Macaca fascicularis: one gene and its partner. The protein of the gene in region 2 purifies or fractionates together with the protein of the main gene of each other region. This does not show direct contact. Links are inferred from orthologs where the notes say so. Each region holds a gene or a part of one and is shown on either strand. Other genes may lie near its edges.

Region 1 (10,518 bases), on a different chromosome or scaffold from region 2:
CCCTAAGCCCAGCTCCTGGGCTCCCTCCCTCTCCCTCTCGGGCTCGGCCCAGCCCCTCACTTCTGGTCAATGGGCTCCAACAGCTCCAGAGCCGGCTCCACCTCCTTTTCAGGGTCCGTGGTCTCCACAGTAGTGCTGGCGATGGCGATGTATTTGCCCTGGGCCGCCACGTTGTGTGCATAGGAGATCATGCACACGTAGATGTCTGGCCACAGGAAGAGCTCCGTCAACTCGGGCCAGAGGCGCTGGCCATACGCAGAGATGAGTTCCAGTGGCTGGACACAAGTCTGGCCCACCTGCCCCCTCCCCAGCCCCGCAAAGCAGGTAGCATCCAAGCCGCCACCCTCCCAGAGGGGAAGAGTCCAGGCCACCCAAACCCTAGGGGTCCAAGTTGTGGTGACTACAACGTGGGTCAAATTTTTTCCAGAGAGGTAAGGCAGGGAGCTCCGACACTGATGGGGAGAGAAAGGGTAACCCCAAAGAGAACACCCTAGAGGAAGTTGTACCAGCACCCGGCCTACCTGACTTCCTGTTGACCTGGTTCTGGGGGATGATTATTTGGCAGGAGTTGGCATCGTTGGTGTTCTTGATGGGGTGGCTAAGGATACAGATAATGCGGATAACCTGGCCAGCCTTCCGCACACGGTCCGGGATGTAGCTGGGGTCACAGATCAGCTGCTTGCAGCGGGCCACCTGAGAAGGCACCAGAAATCCTCGCCCGTCAGATCACTCCCTTAGGTAGTCTTGGGGCTGTGTTCACAGCAAAGGCAGGCAGCTCTGGCAGACAAGGCACTCCTCGGAGCCATCACTACTGCCCCTCCTGAATGCATGGCCCTGCCCTGCAGCTCACAGAGGTGGGCCCTGACCCATAGGCTGGGTGCCCGCCCCCACCTCCCAGATGCCCCGTGATCAAGTACACTTTCTGCACTACAGACATGGCGTGTGGCCTCTGAAATAGCCCCTCACCCACATTCATGGCTCTGAAGACTTCTGAACGCCCAGTTCCCAGCTCCAGGACCCTCGGGGCTGTGCAGCAGGAGACCCGGCAGCACGGTGAAAAGAAGGTGACCAAGCCCTGCCTCAACCATGGTGACTGCACTGCACCAGAAAGGCTCACCTCTCCCTCAGATTTCACGCCCACCACCTTGCCATTCTCCATGATGATGTCATCCACAGGTTTGTTCAGCATATACGTCCCCCCATAGATGGCACTCAATCTGTGGTGAGAACAGCCCTGGTGAAGGCCCCTCCCAGGAGAAACGGGGACCAATTCCACTGTCACCCTTCCTCCACCAAGGTGCAAAAAAGGCTGCCCCAGGCAGGCAGCAGGCAGGAGACGCCGGGATTCATCCCAGCTGTGTCACTGCCGTGAACTCTGGCCCCATCTCAGCGGGCTCTTTCCTCTCAGGAGCTTCTTCTGCCCAGAATACACTGCCAAGGACCAGCAGAAGGGGGCATGAGGGAGCAGTGCTCTGCACCAAGACAGCCTGAAGGACCAGGATGGACTCTCTCAAGATAGGTCACCTCCCAGCGAAGCCCTGACTCAAGGTTCTGGGGCCCTGGGCCCAGTCCTGGTGCTGCCGGGAACTGAGCAAGTCACATTTGTGGAAACTTGGTTCTTCAAGTGTGGAGACTTCTTTTTTTTTTTTTTTTTTTTTTGAGACGGAGTCTCGCTCTGTCGCCCAGGCTGGAGTGCAGTGGCGCGATCTCGGCTCACTGCAAGCTCCGCCTCCCGGGTTCACGCCATTCTCCTGCCTCAGCCTCCCGAGTAGCTGGGACTACAGGCACCCACAACCGCGCCCGGCTAATTTTTTGTATTTTTAGTAGAGACGGGGTTTCACCGTGGTCTCGATCTCCTGACCTTGTGATCCGCCCGCCTCGGCCTCCCAAAGTGCTGGGATTACAGGCGTGAGCCACCGCGCCCGGCAAGTGTGGAGACTTCTGTACTTCAGTGCACTGGGGTTGTGCCCTCATCACCCAAGGATGGAGTGAAGTAAATGAAAATCACGAATTGGAAAGGAGGAAATGCTACCAGGGAAATGCTCAAGGGGGCCATCTCCACTCCTGGCCCTAGTCCTACTCAGCCATGCCAACTGAAAAAACCCACGTCCTCACCTTGCAAAACCCTGGGGCAGCTCGCCCAGGCCGTAGAGCGGGTATAAATATGGGCTCTTGCCATACCGGGCCAGGGACTCACTGTACAACTTGATGCGGTTGATGGTCTCAAGACAGGGCTGGTCCAGGTAGCTGGGGGACAGGGGTTAGGGAAGATGCTCCAGTAGCAGCACCCCTGACTTACCCCCACCCAGGTACCAGGTACCAGGCCAGTCTTCCCACCACCCTGAATGGCCTGGGGAAGATGAGGATCAAATGCAAGGGGGAAATGGAAAGGGTGACAGGTGAGCCTATGGCTGAGTACAAGGAACATGCAGGGCAGGGGGACAACAGGCAGGTGTGGGGAGGGCAGGAGGTGGGCCGGGCGAGGGGGCTGCCGCCACACCAGCTTCCCCTCACTCATCAGTGCGGTAGAGTGCCAGGGCGTGGCCAGTGAAATCGATGACATCCTGGCCCAGATCAAACTTCCGGTAGACATCACGCATGCTGGTAGTCTGGGGGTCAACACCCTCAAAGGTCTTGGGGTCATTCTCATCGAAGTTTGCCACAAACACCAGGAACTTGCGGAAGCGCCGTTTCTCAAACATACCCATCAGATCTAAGGAAGGTGGCGGGAGGAGGTTCTGCACCAACGCAGCACAAAACTCTCCATCTCAGCAGGGCAGGCACCCCCACTCCCAGCCCAGCTGTCCTGTGACCTTAGGTTAACCTCTCCACCCTTTTTAGCCTCAGTTTCCCCACCAGGATGAAGAGGGGATTGGCCTGGATGGACTCTAAGGGCTTTCCTGGCTTGGACACTTGGGGATGTCTTGAGGATCCAGTGGAGCCCCTGCCAAAGGCTCAAGTTTTCTTTGTTGTTGTTGTTTTTTGAGATGGAGTCTTGCTCTATCGCCCAGGCTGGAGTGCAGTGGTATGATCTCGGCTCACCACAACCTCCACCTCCCGGGTTCAAACCATTCTCTTGCCTCAGCCTCCCGAGTAGCTGGGATTACAGGTGTGTGCCACCACACTCAGCTAATTTTTTGTATTTTGAGACAAGACGGGGTTTCACCATGTTGGCCAGGCTGGTCTTGAACTCCTAACCTCGTGATCCACCCGCCTAGGCCTCTCAAAGTGCTGGGATTACAGGCATGAGCCACCGTGCCTGGCCACGCTCAAGTCTTTCAAAAGGAGTCCCGTTCCCCTCCACGTCACATCCCTGCTGCGTGGGGACCTCCCTCTTGGCAGCCAGCCATGCGGCATGACATGGGGCAGAGGGAATACAGAGTGAAGGGCCTCTGGTCCTTCATGGGGGAATGTGACTTTGGACAAAGGGGTGCCTTACTCTGGACAGCCACCCATCCCAAAGACAGTTGGCTTCCCTGCCACCCCATGATTTCTCTGGCTCAGGGGGCCCACACTCACTGGAAGCCAAGGCCTCAGTCTCAGTGGACGGCACTTTGTAGATCTTGCCCCCCTTGTAGACAAAGCTGCCCTCCACCACCTTGAAGTCCAGGTAGCGAGTCACTTCTGTATACAGTAGCATCTTTACCAGCTGCCCTGTGGGGGTGCACAAGGGCAACATCAGCACGGCTCTCTCCAGAGGTTCTAGCTGGTCTGGCTGTGCCTCCTTTGGAGCCTGACTGTCCTTAGGTCTTCCCTATCACCCCCGACCTGCAATACCTCCTTCCTGTCCCTCACCGTTAGCCATGAGGAATTTGGGAATCAGGTCAACGTTCCAGTCTCGGCCTCGGCCCATGGACTCAGGGGGCCCCTCCAGCAACTGAAAACGCTTATACAGCTGTAAGCAGAAGGGAGAGAGAGACACCTCAGGGACCACCTCCTCCTGCTCCAGGCACCTGGAGAGCTACTTCCACCCTGTGCCGCTGTGTGGGAGGTTAACAGGGATGGGCCTGGGCCCAGGCAGCCTCACCTCCTCCAGGGGTGTGATGGAGGAGCTCTCGCCCCCGTAGTAGGGGTTCCGGTCCATGTGCAGCACCTTCTTCCCGTTCACAGACATGATGCCCGACAAGATGCATTCCTGGGGGAGGGCCACACAATCCGCTGCACTCCCACCTTCCTCTGCTCCTACCAGCAGCCCTGATTTGTTCCCCACCCAAACCTGCCTCAGTGGACAGCTCCTTCCATCCACCACCCCCACCGGCTAGTTGCCTCGCCTAAAATTGGGGTGATGGTTTCATCCGACCACACTCTCCATTGCAACCTTGCGGGGTAAAGGAGACCGTCCCCCTCACAAGGCAGACAGTGAAATAACGGAGGCTTTGAGGTAGGCAGGGCATCCAGCAGACACAGGATGGCCTTCCAGTACCAACACGCCGAGAGGCATCTACCTACGCAGAGCCGCACAAAAAGGCGGATAAAACACAATGTGGCACAGAGGGGACCCAGCTGGACTGCGAAAGACACTCCAAAGGGAAGCAAAGAAAGGCTTAGCACAGTCCTTGAAATTGTAGGCCCCACCCTGGACTGCTCTTTCTTCAAAGAGCAGGAGCCCCTGCCGCTGAGGAGGGGCATCTGGGTCTGGACCGAGGGAGAAGAGTCTCTGAGGGGAGTGGGCCAACGGGATTTTCGGGGAAAGGGGGAAGATAAACACCCTCACCAGTCACTGTCACTAGCCCAAGGACAAAGGCTGCAGATGCTACTCAGCCTGAGGTCTCCATGGGCAACCGAGGTGGGGTTGCGGGAATGTGCTTACTGCCCCCACTGCTGCTCCTTCTGGAACATTCCCTGGATCCCCTGGCCCCAGAAGACGACGAGGGGGTGGGCTGAGAGCCCACCCTGGCGAGGCCCCCTGACCCCAGGTCCTTGTACTTCATCCTCACAGGGATTAGCGCAAGATGGGAAGGGACGCTGGGAGGCAACGCTAGGCGGGCGATGGGTGCGGGCGACGGGTGGATGCCGTGATGGGTGGGGGCGATGGGTGGGCGGGGTGGGGGCGATGGGTGGGCGGGGTGGGGGCGATGGGTGGGCGGGGTCGGGGGCAACGGGCCGAGTGGGGGTGCGTTTTCCGGTCCAGAGGGCAGGGGTAGGGAAGATGGGAGAGCGCCGGGGGTCGGACCCGGGTAGGCCAGGGGGCGGCCAGGAAGGGGGCCCCTTCGGGGAGATGGGGTCATGGCAACGAACAGAGGCGACATCGCGGGGGGAGCAGCGGGGTGGGCACGGCGCCGGCTTTTCGGGGAGCCGAGCGCAGAAGATGGCAGTGACCGGAGGATGGGCCGGCGGCCGCATCATCGCGGGGAATGGCGAGGGCACGACGCAGGGCCAAGGGCGCCCGGGGCCGCACTTACGGTGAGGCCGGTCCCCAGCACGATTACATCGTATTCCTCGTCCATGGTCAGGCCTCAGTGGCAGCGCCCGCTCGGCTCCTCCTCCTCCTTCACCACAGCAGTAGCCACCGCCGCCGCCGCCACCGCACTGGACCAAAGATGGCGGAGCGTCGGCCGCCGCCCGACCCCTCCGCCGCGTCAAAGAGTCCCGCCTCTTCCCGCGCCCCGCCGCACCCGGCAGGGGACACCGCCTTCCCGGCTCGCCTCCCGGGAGGGCTGCCAGGGCCCGGGCCACAGCACCAGCGCGGCTCCGCGGGCGACGTTGCTCGCCGAGAGTCCAGAGAGGCTCGGGGCGGGGCGGGCGGGGCGGGCGGGGCGGGCCGGCGGCCGGTGCTGCGGCCCGGGAAGGATCCATGCGCGGGAGCCGGGCGCGCCCCGCCCCGCCCCGCCCCGCGCGCGCCCGCCCCGCCCCCCGGGAGTCTCGGCGCGGCCCCGCGACCGGACGCGCGCCGCTGCGGCAGCCGGGGGCGGCTCCCTCACGACGCGAAGGCTGCCATTGTCACTACGGCCTCCTGAGACGCCGAAGCGCACCGGGACTCGGCCCGACCACCCCTCCCTGACCTAAGCGGTTAGGGCCCAGCTTACTAAAGCCCCTCCCGGTCTCCGGGGATGCCTCCTAGCCTCCCCCTCTCCAGGCTCCATCCTCCCGCATACCTCTGGCGAGCACGCGCCAAAAGCTCAGCGCAGAAATGAGCGACAAGAGGCCCAACGCATGGCGATCCTCGTTTACTTTATTAGGAAGGAAACAACCGAGCACCCCCTGCTCCTGCCAGGCACTTCCGGTGGGAACATGCCAGACAGCCGACGATCGCACCCAGCCCACCTGTGGAGGTGCCTTCCTTCTCAGGCCACAGAAATAAACCCCAGTGTACTGCTTATTGTTAGCACAACATCACCAGAAAACGATAACGACAGCCAAGCAGGACAGTTAAGTAGAACTTCCACACCCCAAACTCAGGGAGCCCTATAACCTTAAGGAGGGAGCATTTGCTACACAAAAACACTATCCACAGCCAGGGATGATGTAGACACAAGAATAAATAAGGAGAAAGGGGACCCTAGAATTCATGTCCCTTACGCCTCACAGCGACTAAGCCTGGAAAGCTGGTTGGTCTAGCATCTACGCAGAATATGTACACCTTGTTGGGAGAGATGGGGGCAGCCCAGGAAAGCTCCTCAGCAGGCTGAAGAGGGAGCAAGATGGGCTGAGGGGAGCTTGGGGTTCATGCTGCGGTAGGAAGAGGGAAGCTCCAGTCCAGTGTGCTGCAGGGTGGGAAAGCAACAACACGGACACTGTCCCACCCTCAATCCCCCACTGGCACAGGGTCAGACGATCTGGGTCAAAGAAATGGTGGGGCCCTTGTGATCATCAAAGCGATCCATGGTCTTGAGACTGAGGATCATGTGCAGGCCGTAGGTGAAGATGAAGAGCATGAACAGGGAGGTCAGCAGCCCCATCCAGATGCCGGGGGAGAAGAAGCTGGCACAGTCACTGGCATAGGAGAACTGCTCCCCCATCACGTTGAAAGCCTGGATCTGGCAGACACACAGACACGGGTCAGAAAGGACCGTTGGGAGGCCCAGCAAGGACTGGGACAAGGGCAGCGCAGGGACAGGACTCCCAAGCCCAAGCCTCTCTTCGTTTCTCAAACACCAGCCTGGGCTCCCCCACCTGAAGCTGGGCCACCCCTGCGCCATACCTGGAAGTCCTGAAGCATCATCTGCCAGGGGGAGGGCTGCGTGCGGGCCACGAGGAGACTGCCCTTCTTGCTCAGGCTGCTGACATACTCGCAGTGGAAGGAGTAGATGCTGGGCCCTGTGACCTGGGAAGCATTGAAGTAGGCAACGGAGCCATTGCTGTGGACTTCGAGGCGCTCCATGGTAAACCAGTGCCGGGCGGACACTGGGTAGAGGCGGTTGGCCAGAATGAACCTGGGGAAGGTGGCAGGGATGTCAGGTGAGCTGGGGAGGCTGGGGCCACACCAGCCTCCCCACACCTCAACCACCCCAGGACTCACTTGAATGTCACTGTGGTACCAAAGAGTCGTTCATAGGTCAGTGAGAGCCTGTGGAGGCAGAGAAAGAGGTGCACCATGAGGCTCTGGGAGGGCCTTTGGCATCTTAGAGGAACAAGTTCCTCAGCTCTGCTCTTACCTAAGCTGCCTTGGGTCCTTGCAGCCACCTGAAGAAGCAGTGACCCCACTTGACAGATAGGAAAACTGAGGATCCAGTCGCATTGCAAGCCCAGAACAGAGCTGGAAGCCAGGACCCAGGTTCCCCTTGCCACCAGCATGGGGGTCCTTCCTCTGGTTCCCCTGAGCTCACTACCTCTCCTTTTACTCCCTCTTAGGGTCACTAAGGTGCCTGGGCTGGGCTTTGGGGGTGAGAGCAAACAGAAGGGCATGGTTGCCCCATAAATGCCTCAGGTAGCTGGCCTGGCATTTGCCCACACAAAGTCCCAGAAGTTTTGCTCAAGGGGGAGGTGTTAACAACCAAGGTCCCAACCAAAGACTCACAAGCATGGGGAGGCAGAAGTCTGAGCAACTCCCCTCCAACAGCACCCCCCGCCATGACACCTCCTACATCCTCACACTGCCCAGACCCCAACCAGACCATGGCCATCCCCACCCCAACACACAGACCTGACCCTGGCTCCCTGCCCCACCTGCAACTCACAGTGGTGGGAAGGTCACCTGTGGTGGCACAGTCCTCCCCAGCCTAGTGCCCTTGCCTGGCAAAGGAGTCATTCCAGAAGGAGCCAGTCAGGTTGAGCTCCTGCACCCCAAAGGTGAGGGGAGTCAGGTCCTCCCACTGGTCCTTGTACGCCACAGAGAAGTTTTGGGCCCAGAACAGGATCCGGGGAGCAGTGTCATTGTAACTCACAGGAGGATGGATCACAGGTGATATTGGCTGTTTTTGTAACAGCTGGCGACCTAGCCCTTCAGCCACCACCGCTACATCACGGGCCACCTGCAGAAACACCCAACCAGCCTTCTTTCAGCAGCCCTGGGAGACTGTCATACTCCAACCCAGCTGTCGTGCCCTCCCTCCTCTCCCGACAGGACACCCTGTCCACTATCTCAAAGTCCCACCAGCCAGAGGAGGCCTTTCCTCCAGAAAGCTTTCCCTGATGGCCCCTAAACCCTGATGACATTCCTAGTCCCTCAAACTTAGGGTCATTTAGACTTAGTGTCCAAGTCTGCCACCCACAAGCCTCAAAGGACGAGATGGAAAGCTGCCCCTGGAATGGGGAGGCAGCACTTGAGTGCTCATCCTAGTCCTCCCCCAGAGTCAGCCCAGGGACAAGCCACTCCAAATAGTCACACCACAGGGGTTCTGTGCCTGATGCTTCCGCTATGCTGGGCCTCCCGGACAGCCTGCCTGTGGCATACACCCCCCACCTCCAGACAGACTCACCACACTGCCTCTCCCTGCATGCCCCAGAGCCCCTGCTGGAAGGGCACATACCCTGGAAGGGCGGACCGCTGTGAGGGCCGCTGTGTACGGGACATCTTCAGACTTGAGTGTGCTCAGGACCTGCCCAATGACCTCATCTGAGGGTCAAAAAGGAGAGCAGAGAGTCAAGTCACCAGGCACCCTGTGTAAAGAAACACTCCCCACCGTCTGCTTTAGAAACCTTCTAGACCATCTGAAAGTGGTGTTATTACTTTCCACTGAGGATCCTTAGGAGCAGCTATTTCTCATCCCACCCCCATTCCTAGCCTCCCCCCTGGACAACTGTGGCTTTGGTCATCAACTTCCTAATGCCAAGCCCTACCTATGTGACACGAGAAAATACATATCAATACAGAAAACTCCACATCCACCCATGAAAGGTTTGTGACTGCCTTTCCATGGGCAATGACTGTTCTTTATTGCAAATAGGTAAGTCCCCAGAATTGTTTTTCCAAATGTCTGCAGTCTTATTAAACCCATAACTCTAGGATTCACGCTGCATGCACAGAAACTGGCTCCATAGCCTCCAGCACAGAGGGCCCCCCCTCTGCCAAGTGGGGTCTGGCTGGACAGGGTCCTCTGCTAAGTGGTCTCTGGCTAGTCCTGGGAGCCAGCATTTCCCTGCTCCACTGTCAGCTGCCCCGAGAAGCAGGAGGGCCACCCTGGGAGTGAGGAGGCTGAGGAGCTGCAGGCCAACTGTCTGTGGTCCCCGCCCAAGGGCTAGGTGAGGATGTGCATCCTCCCTGATTCTACTCACCATTGCCTGTGAGGACTTCCCTGGGTGCCATCAGACCAGAGCTATGGAAGACAAACAGAGCACCAGAGTCCTCAGGCGGCCTGGACCTGTGCTGCCTACTACCCTTCCCCAGCCCCAGCTTCTCCTCCCCACTAGCCCCACACACCAAGCCTGCACACTCTTACCTCAGTGCCCACTCCTGGAAGCCCATCTCACCCCGAGGCTTCTCAGTCACACTCAAGTCCTAGCCACCTGCTCTGTGACAAGGGCCTGGCTAGGTGAGAAAGCTCCCCACCCACAGGGCTCACATCTGCCTCATCTCTGGAGCTAGGCACCAACTCCTGAATCACAGAAGAGGCCCTCCCCACCTCTTCTGGCCACACACGGCACCTTCTAGAAGGGCTGTGAGGGGGTGGGGAGTACTGGCATATTTGGTCGAACGGTGCCACCACATGCCATAGCCCAGGGCCTTGCTGCTCTCTGGACCCCGAGGCTGGTGGCTGGGCCATGTGGGCAGTACCTGGCCGTGTAGGGCAGGTGAATGAGCAGCAGGGCGGGGAGGCTGGCGTTGAGCTTCAGCTCCCGCAGGGTGGCCAAGTCCACATGCAAGGGGCTGGCCCTGAGCTTCTCCTGCAGGTAAGTGGTCAGAGTGCTGACTGCATACCAGTCAACGGCAGGAAGCACCAGGGAGGAGGGGGCCAGGTCCAGGGCATTCTGGTGACAGGGGAGAGGCAAAAGGTGAGTTAGCCAGGGGCCAGTGGGCCTGGGCCAGCCCCCCAAACCTCTCTGGCAGGTTTCCTCTGGCAAGCCATACCCACAAAGGCTCACCAAGAAAATGGCCCACACCCCAGGCCCTGACATTCAGGCCCCAGGCCTTTCTACCCC
Region 2 (9,924 bases):
CACCTGCAGTGCCTCTCACAGCATCAGGTCTGGGCAGGCCTCAGTAGCTCATGGAAGGAACAAAGCTGTGGACTCTTGCCCAAGCAGACTGGCCACAAGGTCACTGGGGTAAGCTTAGGTCATGGCAGTGACTGCAAAGGACCTGCTCTGGTGCAGAAAATGGTTTGGGCCTCCAGGTACAGGCCTTAAGGTGGATTTGTGCACACAGCCCTCATGGGGACCAGGCGTGGGGAACTGATACGACCTTGAGATGAATGACTCTGCTCAGGGAGCCCTGCAGGTCCGGTGCCAAGGCAGCGAACAGCAGGGCCCGGGCCACATGGCACAGCAGTGAGGCTTCTCTGAGAGCGCGAGGGATGCAGGAGTGTGAACACAATCTTTTGGGCTTGTTTGGATGTGGAGTGTGAGTTGTTGATTGTGGGAGTGTGTGTACAGTGTATGTGTTTTATCTGTAGGACTGCGTGGAGAATGTGTGTGTTGTGAGTGATAGGTGTGGGTAGGTGCATGTGTGTCTGTGTAAACATACGGGAGAACGTGTGGTGTGTGTGAATGTGTGGTATCTTTGTGTGCGTGTTTGTGTAAATGTGGGGGGAATGTGTCTATAGTGTCTCCTTGGTAAGGTGCGTGTCTGCGTGCATGTGGGTTTTCTGTGTGTGTGTGCACGCGCGCGCGTGTTGGGGCAGGCATGGGTGGCAGGGGACAGGTGGCAAGTGGCAGATAGGGTGCGGGCAGAGATGGAATCTTGGAGGTGACAAGTACAAGGCAGAAGTATGAGGCACAGAAGACTCTGAACGGCTATGCTCCAAATGCTGGTCCCCTGCAAATTCCTATGTTGAAACAGAATCTCCAATGTGACAGTATAAAGAGGTGGGACTTTAGGAGGTGCTTAGTCAGGAGGGTAGAGCCCTCATGAACGGGATGAGCGCCCTTAGGAATGAGGCCCGAGGGAGCCTGTCTGCCCCTTCCACATTGTGAGGATGCAGCAGGAAGGTGCCATCTAGGAGAAAATGGGCCCTCACCAGACTGAATCTGCCTGCACCTTGACTGTGGAGTTCCCAGCCTCCAGAGCTGTGAGCAATACATTTCTGTTGTTTATACGCTACCCAACCTATAATGATTTGTTACAGTAGCCTGACAGGACTAACCCAGGAGCACTCCCTGCTCTCCTCACAAATACGAATTACAGGAGCTGGGTGGGCTCTGGGCTCATGCCCTCCACTGCATGAGCTCTCTGAAGACAGGGTGAGTCTTATTCATGGCCTCACCCCAGAGCCCAGCCCCAGCTGAGCACCCGGGCTGAGTGACAGGGCTAAAGGCCGTGAGGGCCCAAGGCGGGAAGCTCCTGGTGGGCCCAGCACGGTGTGAGAGCCTTGTGGGCGGGCTGCAGAGGAGGCTCTGCGGTAGGGTAGCTATTAGTAGGCAAGGGTACAAAGGACCTGGGCCATCCTTCCTGAGCTTTCCTTCATGGCATTGGCCCTGGGCGGCTCCTATCTGCCTGTCTGGCTCTCAAAACGGTCACAGCCCTGACTAGTGGCCCAAATGCCACTAGGGATTTTGAAGGGTGCTCTAGGGTCAGGTACGGGTTTCTGTGAGTGGAAATGCTCACATTTAGATCCAGGAGTCTGCACTGCATGGAGACTCCCCTGAGCCACGTAGGGTCCGAAACGGACCACATTTAACTCCTGCTAAACCACTGCGTGGGTTCCAGAGCACTCTGGGGGTGGGGGCATCAGTGCCTCCCTGACCCTGACTGCTGAGGCAGATGCTACCTGCCCTATGGACCTGCTGGTGCTGCCCTCCCTCTGCTTCCCTGCTTCCCATTACTTTAGCGCTCCCAAAGAGCAGCAGCCCAGTCTCTCCTCCATGGTCCCCGGGAGCAGGAAGGACCATGGCAGCTTCAGCCCCACACCAAGGGAGGCTGGGAACAGATGGGAGTGAGTGGAGCCCTGCTGAGGGCACTCCAGTTAGGGTGGGGTGCTGAGTCCTGGAGCTTTGGGGCCCCCAGTGTCACACAGTGTCCCTTCCACTCTGTCTCTTCTTGTCGCTCTGCCAGCCCACCCTCCCCATTGCCACCAGCACTGTTCGCACAGGGCAAACCATCACTGCATCCAAAAGGCCAGTGCTGCATACACAGCTTGCCGAGGGTTCCCAGCAATGCAGGGGGCAGGGCAGAAGCGAACGCCAGGCCAACCACACTCCTCATCCAGAGTCCCCTCCCCACACCTCGGGCACCCTGCAGCCACACCTGTGCTGCTCCCCTGCTTGGCATGCCCTCCCTCCTCACCACCTCTCCAAGTCCTATTCGCATCCCCAGTGGCAGGAGTTCTCAACCTTTCCGTGAGCCAAGGACCACTCTGGCAGTCTGGTGAAGCCCATGGACTCCTTTGAAGTATGTGAAATCAATGACATAGGATGATAAAGGGAACTACTGAGTACTGGAATACACCTCATCGACATTCGTGCTTCCTTATGAACACATTGAACAGTGAGAACTAGTAAGAGATCCAATAACTACTGTGACACTGAAACACTGATGCATGTAAAGTTCAAGGTATCTGCAACACTGTGAGGGGATGGGAAGGCATCTGTGATTTCTACTGGTGGTAAAGCCATAGGCACCACTAATACGACTGAGCGTCATTGCCTACATTAATCATTGAAGGACAAACAGACATCCTTCAGTGCTATGGACGGGTTAGTGGTTAGTGAAGATAAAAGGTGCAATGTTTTCCAGCCCTGTCTGCTGACCTGCTAAATTCCATCCATGGACCACTCAGGGGCCCTCATGCTGCAAGGCTCGGCCCTAACTCCACTGCCTCACCCTCCTGTGAGTTCCAGCCACACCATGGTGGGCTCTTTTCTCCAGGCCTGAGTTGCCCTCCGCAGCCCTAAGCACTTGCTAAGTGCAAGGCATGAACCCCAAATGCTGATCGGATTGAATTTTCCTGCATGCGTCATCCAAAGTGGGGTGAGGGGCTAGGGAACCACTGCTTCCCTCAGCCACCTGGAAGCTGGTGGCTGGACACTCTTAGGGACTGCTACATGGGCTGTGATTGGCCACTGCTATGGTGGCTGGTGACTTACATTCTCCAGTCGCCATGCCCGGAGTGCTCCCTCCCTCTCTTGGGCTTTACCAGCTCCAGAAATTAGCTCTCCCTGCCCTGGGCGCATCTATGGGTGTTCTGGTTGGCTGCCCCAACCCCGCCACCAGCCCCTCAGGGCAAGGCAGGTCTGAGCCTGAGGCTGACCACAGGACCACACCGTGCCAGGCCCGGTGCCAGGTGTGTCCTCACCTGCTTCACATTGTAGCCAGTCTTCGCGCTGGTCTCAATGAACATGACGCTCAGTTCTTTGGCGCGCTGCTCCCCCTCCTCGATGGTTATCTGCCTAGAGATGACGGGAAGGGGGGAAATCAGTTCAGCAGAGGAGCAGCCCCTGGCAGAGATGAGGAGGGACCCGCCCAGCATGGCAGAGGGAGCCCACTAGGCCCTTGGTCAGCCCTGAAGACAGGCTCTGATCCCAGGGGTCCCTCCTGGGCACCAACCATAGTCTCTAGCACAAAGCGAGCACCAGGGAACAGCAGGACACTATCCCCTTCCCCCACTCCTTCCTTCGTGTCTTCTCAGCTTCAAAGCAGGCCCTGGGGTAGGGATGCCCCACGCCTGCCTTTCCCAGTAGTAATTACTGCAGAGCTTGTGCTTGTGAAGAGATTCAAGCCACACAGTCCACTCTGGGTGGTGCTATTAGTCGCATTTTCCGTATGAGAACACTAATGCTAAAAGTGTCTCCCCCGGGGCCACAAAGCTGCTTAGCAGAGAGGGCTCCATGATGGGGCAGGCAGAAGTGGCTGAGGGTATGAAGGGCCTAGGTGCCCTTTGTACTGGGATTTGAGCCCAGTTTTCCTTACTTTAAGGACAGAACTCTAGTAAAGCAGGCTCTAATTCAGATGATTCCTCAGGTGCTCAAGGGACACTGCGGAAGCCTGCACTGCTTGCTGGAGTCCATGGCCTGTCACTTTATCTGCCCAAGTCAGGGTCACGTGAAACGAGTGGACAGCGTACACACATGGCACCTCAGTTCTCCCTGTGCATGGAGGGCAGCATGGAGGAGACTCTTCAGAGAAAGCTTCATGCCAGATGCAGCCACAAACCAGGCTAAGCAGGCTACAGCTATAGGTTTGTGGTCTGAATGCTCTGCATGCTCACACCTAGGGCCCAGGGTGTTCGCACCCCCATGCACACTGGTGCAGACACTTCACAGGCACAGACAGTTCGCAGTACACACACTGGGGCTTAGGGAACTGCTGTGTCTGGGGCAGTGCTGTGGCCATGGCAGGGTCTTAGACCATGCACTGCTGGGCCAAGCCAGGTGCACAGGGCTCTGTGTAGACAGCACACGGAGGAGTGCCCCGCCCCTGCCTGGTGGTGGAAGGCAGGGCTTCACAGATGAGACACCCAGGGGTGAGAGTCTACCAGGTGTTCTCAAAGCTCCTAGTGTCTCAAGGGACCTTTTCCGGATGCATGGTCAGAAGCACAGACACACCACCCACGCATCCCAGAGCTCCCCGTCCAGGAGCAGCTGGAGAGGAGTGGAGGGTGGTACCCTGCACCTGTGTGCCCTTTGCACCTACCTCTTATCAGCCAGGTCCGTCTTGTTGCCCACCAGCATGATGATAACATCACTGCCCCTCTCTGTCCTGACGTCGTCGATCCACTTAGAGGTCTGTTGGAAGGAGTTGAGATCTGGAGGCAGAAAGTGAGGAAAAACTGAAAGCCAGGGCCAGCCACCAGCAGGAGATGGGAAGGGGATGTGTGAGCCAGGAGCAGGAGGGAGGGTGAGCATGTGCCCTCAGATACCCAGGGAGGGTACGAGCTCAGTCAACACAGATCAGCCGGGTAGGGCCTTTCAGAGGGAACCAGGCCCTGCCCTGCAGCCCTGGGAGCCGCCTGCACTGTTTAGCCGCCCTTTGTGGGAGAGGAATCACCCCATCTGGAAGATCATGGCGTCATGATTTGCTACATGAAATAGTGGCTTTAGGGGCCCGCCTGAGAGTCAGACCTGACTCTGGGGATTCAGAGTGGAGTGTGAGAACTGGGTCACACGTGTGTGCATATATACACACACACACACACACACACAACTTGGCAAGTTTGGAAACAGTGAGGGGTGGGCAGAGGAGGACACAGAAGCCTCTAGGGAAGGAAGGACCCTACTGAGTGGCCTCCCCACCAGGGGAGCTCAGGAGAGTTAGGGGAAGGCCAGAGGGATTTCTGAAGAGAACCCTCAGGCTCTGCAGGTGAGAGGAGGGGAAAGGTGGCCCCAGGACTAGTCAGGGGAGCCAGGTGCACTCAAAAATCCAGGAGAGACAAGGCCACTTCTTGGCAGCCTGACCTCCCTCAGCTGCCATGACAAGCCTTGCAGGGCAGAGCAGCTCTAAGGCAAAGCCCACCACTCCGCAGCCTGCACACCCAAGGGGAGGGGAGGCAGCTGTCCTCAGAAGCCTCAGTTTCACACAGCCTGGTATCCCTTCTGATGCGCCTCAGGCCATGTGAACTCAGGCCCTTATGGGCCCAGCTCCCACCTGCACTCAGGTGTGGATGGGGCCTGTGGTCAGAAGAGGGGTGGACAGAGGGGGCGGGCAGAGCCAGGGCAGCAGGATGGGTGGTAGGGGCATGCACCAGCGTGGGGTCACACATGCTTCCTTGTGTGATTTTAGGGCTGTGGACAGCACCTAGGGCATCCGCCCACTTCATGGTAACCACAGCCCTGAGGGCTTATCAGGTGTGTTCCATTACAGCAGCCTTGCAGGTCTGGCTTCTGCATCGGCCCCTGCCCCCACCTCTGGCCCTGTGCGCCCTCGAGGCTGTGCAGTCCTGTTAAGAACACCTGCTCTGGCCTGAAGAGCCACGGTGCTGGAGAAGGATTACCAGTCTACTGCGCTTCCAGACCCCCTTGGCCTACCTTCCCAGGGAGTCCTGCACCCACAGCTGCTGGGCCGGGGTTGACCTAGGGACCAGCGTCTTCTCCCATGGTGACACACATACAGAAGTAGCTCCTTAGGGAGCTTTCTGACAGCCAGGGAGAGGGAGGGTGCAGAGAGGCTGGAGCAGGGCCGACCTTGTGAGCATCTGCTCACACCACATGCTGGCCCCTGCTCTGAGCAGGGCCAACCTGGCCCTGTAAACCCCTGCCTGTTGCAGGAGGGTGGGGGGCAGTGGAAAACATGTTGGTGTTCAAAGGCAACTCACCACTGCTCCCTGCCTTTCTCCATTTAGGGAGCAATCGCACACACGTGTGCACACAGATGCATGTGCACAAACATGCATACACACACACGCATACACACAGGCCTGGCCACAGTCACACCTGGGCCCTGGAACCCCCAATGAGCCACCCTCCCTTAGGCGCAGACGCTCACTCACTTGTGATGTCGTACACCACCACAGCCACTGTGGAGTCCCGGATGTAGCTGGGGATCAGGCTGCGGAACCTCTCCTGACCAGCTGTGTCCCAGAGCTGCAGTCGCACCTGTCTCAGGGAGGGTAGGACCACAGGCAGACGGGTCAGTGGGGCAGTGAGGTCCTCCTGGTCCGGGGAACTGGGAGAGCCAGGCTCTGCAATGCTGGCAGCACCAGCTCCAGTCCCCAGTGTCGGCAGGGGCTCTCAGTGGTGACCAGCTAAAGATCCTAGGGGATAAGCCCAAAGGAACCCTCCCTGTCCCTCCCAGTCCTAATATTAGGTGCTCACCGTGCGGTCCTCCAAGTACATGGTTTTTGACAAGAAGTCAATCCCAATGGTTGCCTGTTAGAGAAAAGCACAGAACAGTCAAAACCAAAAGGTCTCATGCAAAGGGGCAAAAGCCTGGTGACCGCAGGTGGTGGCGTAACCAGCAAGAGGGGACGTCCATGTCAGGTCTAACATGGCCATCCTCTGTCCTCCCTGCCCCTCCACCCACTACTCAGCAGCCCTCTTACTGAGGGATCAAGCTGAGGAAAGATGGGGGTGGCCTTTATAGGGCGAGATCCTCTCTGGAGAGGGAAAGTGCTTCGGGAGCAGTGAGAGCACCGTGGTGAGGAGGCCGCCCCAGGAGCAAGGCCACTCAGGCCACTCAACACACATATCCTGCCCTCCCCACCTGGGCTCCCTGCCTTGTTCCCCTCACGGCCTAATCTGCAGCTTCCAAAGCCTCTTCCCGCTGCCCTAAAGCATGGCCCTGGGCTCAACACAGGCCTCGGGAGGGTGGGAGGAGGCAGCTTGCTGCTGTGTGGGGGCAAACAGCAGCATGGCTTTTCTCAGGTGCGGGCACTGCAGACCACCCAGAGTGGCCTCTCGCTGGGAGGCCCCACTGGCTCTTTTCTTCTCAAGCCAAAACGTTGGAAGCTGTCACCAGCTCCCCTGTGCCACACCTATGCCTCTTCTGCCCTGGCACCTGCGAGAGGCAGCCAGTCTTGTGGCCAGATGGCCAGGATTCTGTGTGTCCTTGGGCAGGCCACCAACCTCTCTGGGCCTCACATGCACCCAGTACCTGTCAGTAGGACTGAGATGCTGTCAATGTAAGATGGAGATATCATTGCTATGTAATCAATAATAACAAAGACTTTGACACAGCCCAAATGTCCAAGGCACTGAATAAGCATAGTGTGGTACATCCATGTGATTAGAATCCTTGGCAGCTGTTAACAATCACATTCTTGAAAACATATTTAAGGCTTTGGGGAAATGGTCATCCAGTTAAAAAAAAAACCAGGTTATAAAACATCATGTGGTGAGTGATCCCAATTAGATTAACTCAAGTAGATCTATGAGTATTATTCATGTTTTCTTCAACAATGAAGTGAAGGGAATCTGCTAAAACGTTAATAGCATCACAGTCTGAATAGTGGCAGTGCATTTTGTTTCCTTCATTACACTTTTCTCTACTTTCCACAATGAACATATAACAGTTCTAAAATTAGGAAAAGTCCTTTGAAATAAAGTTTAATAAATAAGTTTAATTGTGTGGAATGCTATGATTTTCGACTGCAAAAAACAAAACCAAAGGAAGCCCAAGAAAATAGAAAAGGTCATGTCTCCAGGCCCCCCAGGCTGAATGCAAAGGTGTGCACCAATGTGTGTGTACAAGTGTACATGTTCACATAGTCACACTCCTAAATCGTTCCACAAAGGACTGAGGGTGGCTGCATCCTCCTGGAAGCTTGCTTCATAACACAAAGATATGGAGAGTGATTCTATGTTCTGGAGCATATGATGCTAGAATGAGGGCACTAGACAAGCACCTTAGATAAAACCCAATCAATCCCTTACTTTGGCGATGAAAGAACAGACCAAGAGGGTTAAAGGACATGCCTAGTGTGACTTCACTCATCAGGAGCAGGGCTGGGAAGATCAGAGCTGCAACCTCGGCAGCACCTGGGCTCTTTCCAGCCCAGCTTCGCATATTGTAGCCACCGAGGGACAAATCTGCAATGACCAGTGCTTGTGGATGCAGACTTTTTCCTTCACAGGTAGGTATATGTTAGATTGACAATCCTTGTCTTCTGATTCCCTTATGGAGAAATGTGCATAGCAGGTAGAAGTCTCTGAACTCCTCAGTGCTCAACAGGTTCCCCAGGAGTGACATGCTCCTTTTGTAGAGTCACCCTTGAAAGAAAACCAGGTGCATGAGCTTAGGTCTGGTGGCAGGGACCGTTGGTTGTCCCCAGTATGTAGTCTCCCTTTCTATAGTAACAGAATTCTGGGTGTGCAGATGGACTCAGGGCTGCCCCAAATAAAGACCATATTTCCCAGCCTTCTTTGCAGCTGGGTGGCTACGTTCTGGTTAATGGGATGTGAAGGTGATGCAGGCATATTTGGGGACAGGTCCTCTGTGGGCAAGGAGTACCCACAGCTGCTCCCTTTCCCACTGTCCGGTGGGGATGAGTCATAGTGGCCCATCCAGATGAGGATGACAGAGGAGCGATGACATCAACAAAGCCTGACTCCCTGACCCTGAGGAGCTACTTCAGCAGCGCTGGACTGCTCAATTGTTCTATTTTGTTTAAGCCACTGTTATTTTGGGTTTCTGTTAACATAGCCTAACTATAGCCTAACTAACAAGCAAAGAACCACGGAGAAATGTATCCCTCAAAGGTAGGCACCCAATAGTAATGCTACTGATAACTGTAATGATGACAATCCCATCACACCTCACATGTCACAAGGCACTTCTGCTTCCATGAAGGGCAGAGAAGTCACCAAATGAAACAAGGAATTGTGCTACTTGGATGAAGTCCCAGCAAAGCTCAACCCAGTGGCCTCCATAATCATAAACACCATTACTGAACATCCATATACTTTCTCTCACATCCCATAACAGCTTGACCAGAGGCAGCAACGAGGAAACTGAACGAGGCCAACATCCCATTTTCTCCAGCTCTCTCTTAATTCCCACTTCCAGCTTCCCCATCAGAGAAACTTCTGGTCCCTTAACTGTCCACTCTCTCAGACCTGTTCTAGCCACACTCTCCATCTGACCAGGCCACTGAGCCACTGAAGAACTTCCATAGTTGTGGAGATGGTGCCAAAGCATTGGCATTGTCTCTGGGTGTAACTGAGCCGTCAGCTCTGCTCAAAAACATATTCCTAAGTTTTGCTTTCAATAATGGCTGAGTGGCTTGTATCAAACAAACCCTCGCACAGAAAACTATTTTAATATCTGGAAAAATACAAGAAATAACAATTTGCAAGCACTGAAGAATGATCAAAAGCAGGACGAGGCAGGGCGCAGTGGCTCATGCCTATAATCCCAGCACTTTGAAAGGCCGAGGCATAAGGATCACTTGAACCCAGGAGTTTGAGAGCAGCCTGTGTAATATAGTGAGACTCTGCCTCTATAAAAAATAAAAAATAAAAATTAATCAGGTGCAGGGGTGCCCACCTGTAGTC

What was found.
Region 1: the proteins of RAB6B (region 2) and GDI1 purify together in Homo sapiens (co-immunoprecipitation; 3 studies listed by BioGRID and IntAct, counting the BioPlex papers as one, with this or other methods). This does not show direct contact. The link is inferred for Macaca fascicularis from reciprocal best matches to the Homo sapiens genes RAB6B and GDI1.

What each region holds. Positions count from the first base shown.
Region 1 is NC_088395.1:160,433,124-160,443,641, reverse strand, and holds the start of GDI1 (rab GDP dissociation inhibitor alpha), read right to left. Parts: upstream 5,543-10,518; 5' UTR 5,448-5,542; coding exon 5,403-5,447; intron 4,136-5,402; coding exon 4,028-4,135; intron 3,896-4,027; coding exon 3,796-3,895; intron 3,655-3,795; coding exon 3,520-3,654; intron 2,714-3,519; coding exon 2,515-2,713; intron 2,248-2,514; coding exon 2,116-2,247; intron 1,218-2,115; coding exon 1,118-1,217; intron 694-1,117; coding exon 522-693; intron 246-521; exon of another isoform or gene 206-245; coding exon 61-205; intron 1-60. Other genes in the region: ATP6AP1 (V-type proton ATPase subunit S1), read right to left, coding at 6,768-6,977, 7,142-7,373, 7,460-7,507, 8,173-8,411, 8,910-8,995, 9,655-9,695, 10,154-10,347. UniProt on the Homo sapiens protein: Regulates the GDP/GTP exchange reaction of most Rab proteins by inhibiting the dissociation of GDP from them, and the subsequent binding of GTP to them. Promotes the dissociation of GDP-bound Rab proteins from the membrane and inhibits their activation.
Region 2 is NC_088376.1:36,745,381-36,755,304, forward strand, and holds part of RAB6B (ras-related protein Rab-6B), read right to left. Parts: intron 6,802-9,924; coding exon 6,748-6,801; intron 6,529-6,747; coding exon 6,423-6,528; intron 4,743-6,422; coding exon 4,631-4,742; intron 3,388-4,630; coding exon 3,294-3,387; intron 1-3,293. UniProt on the Homo sapiens protein: The small GTPases Rab are key regulators of intracellular membrane trafficking, from the formation of transport vesicles to their fusion with membranes. Rabs cycle between active GTP-bound and inactive GDP-bound states.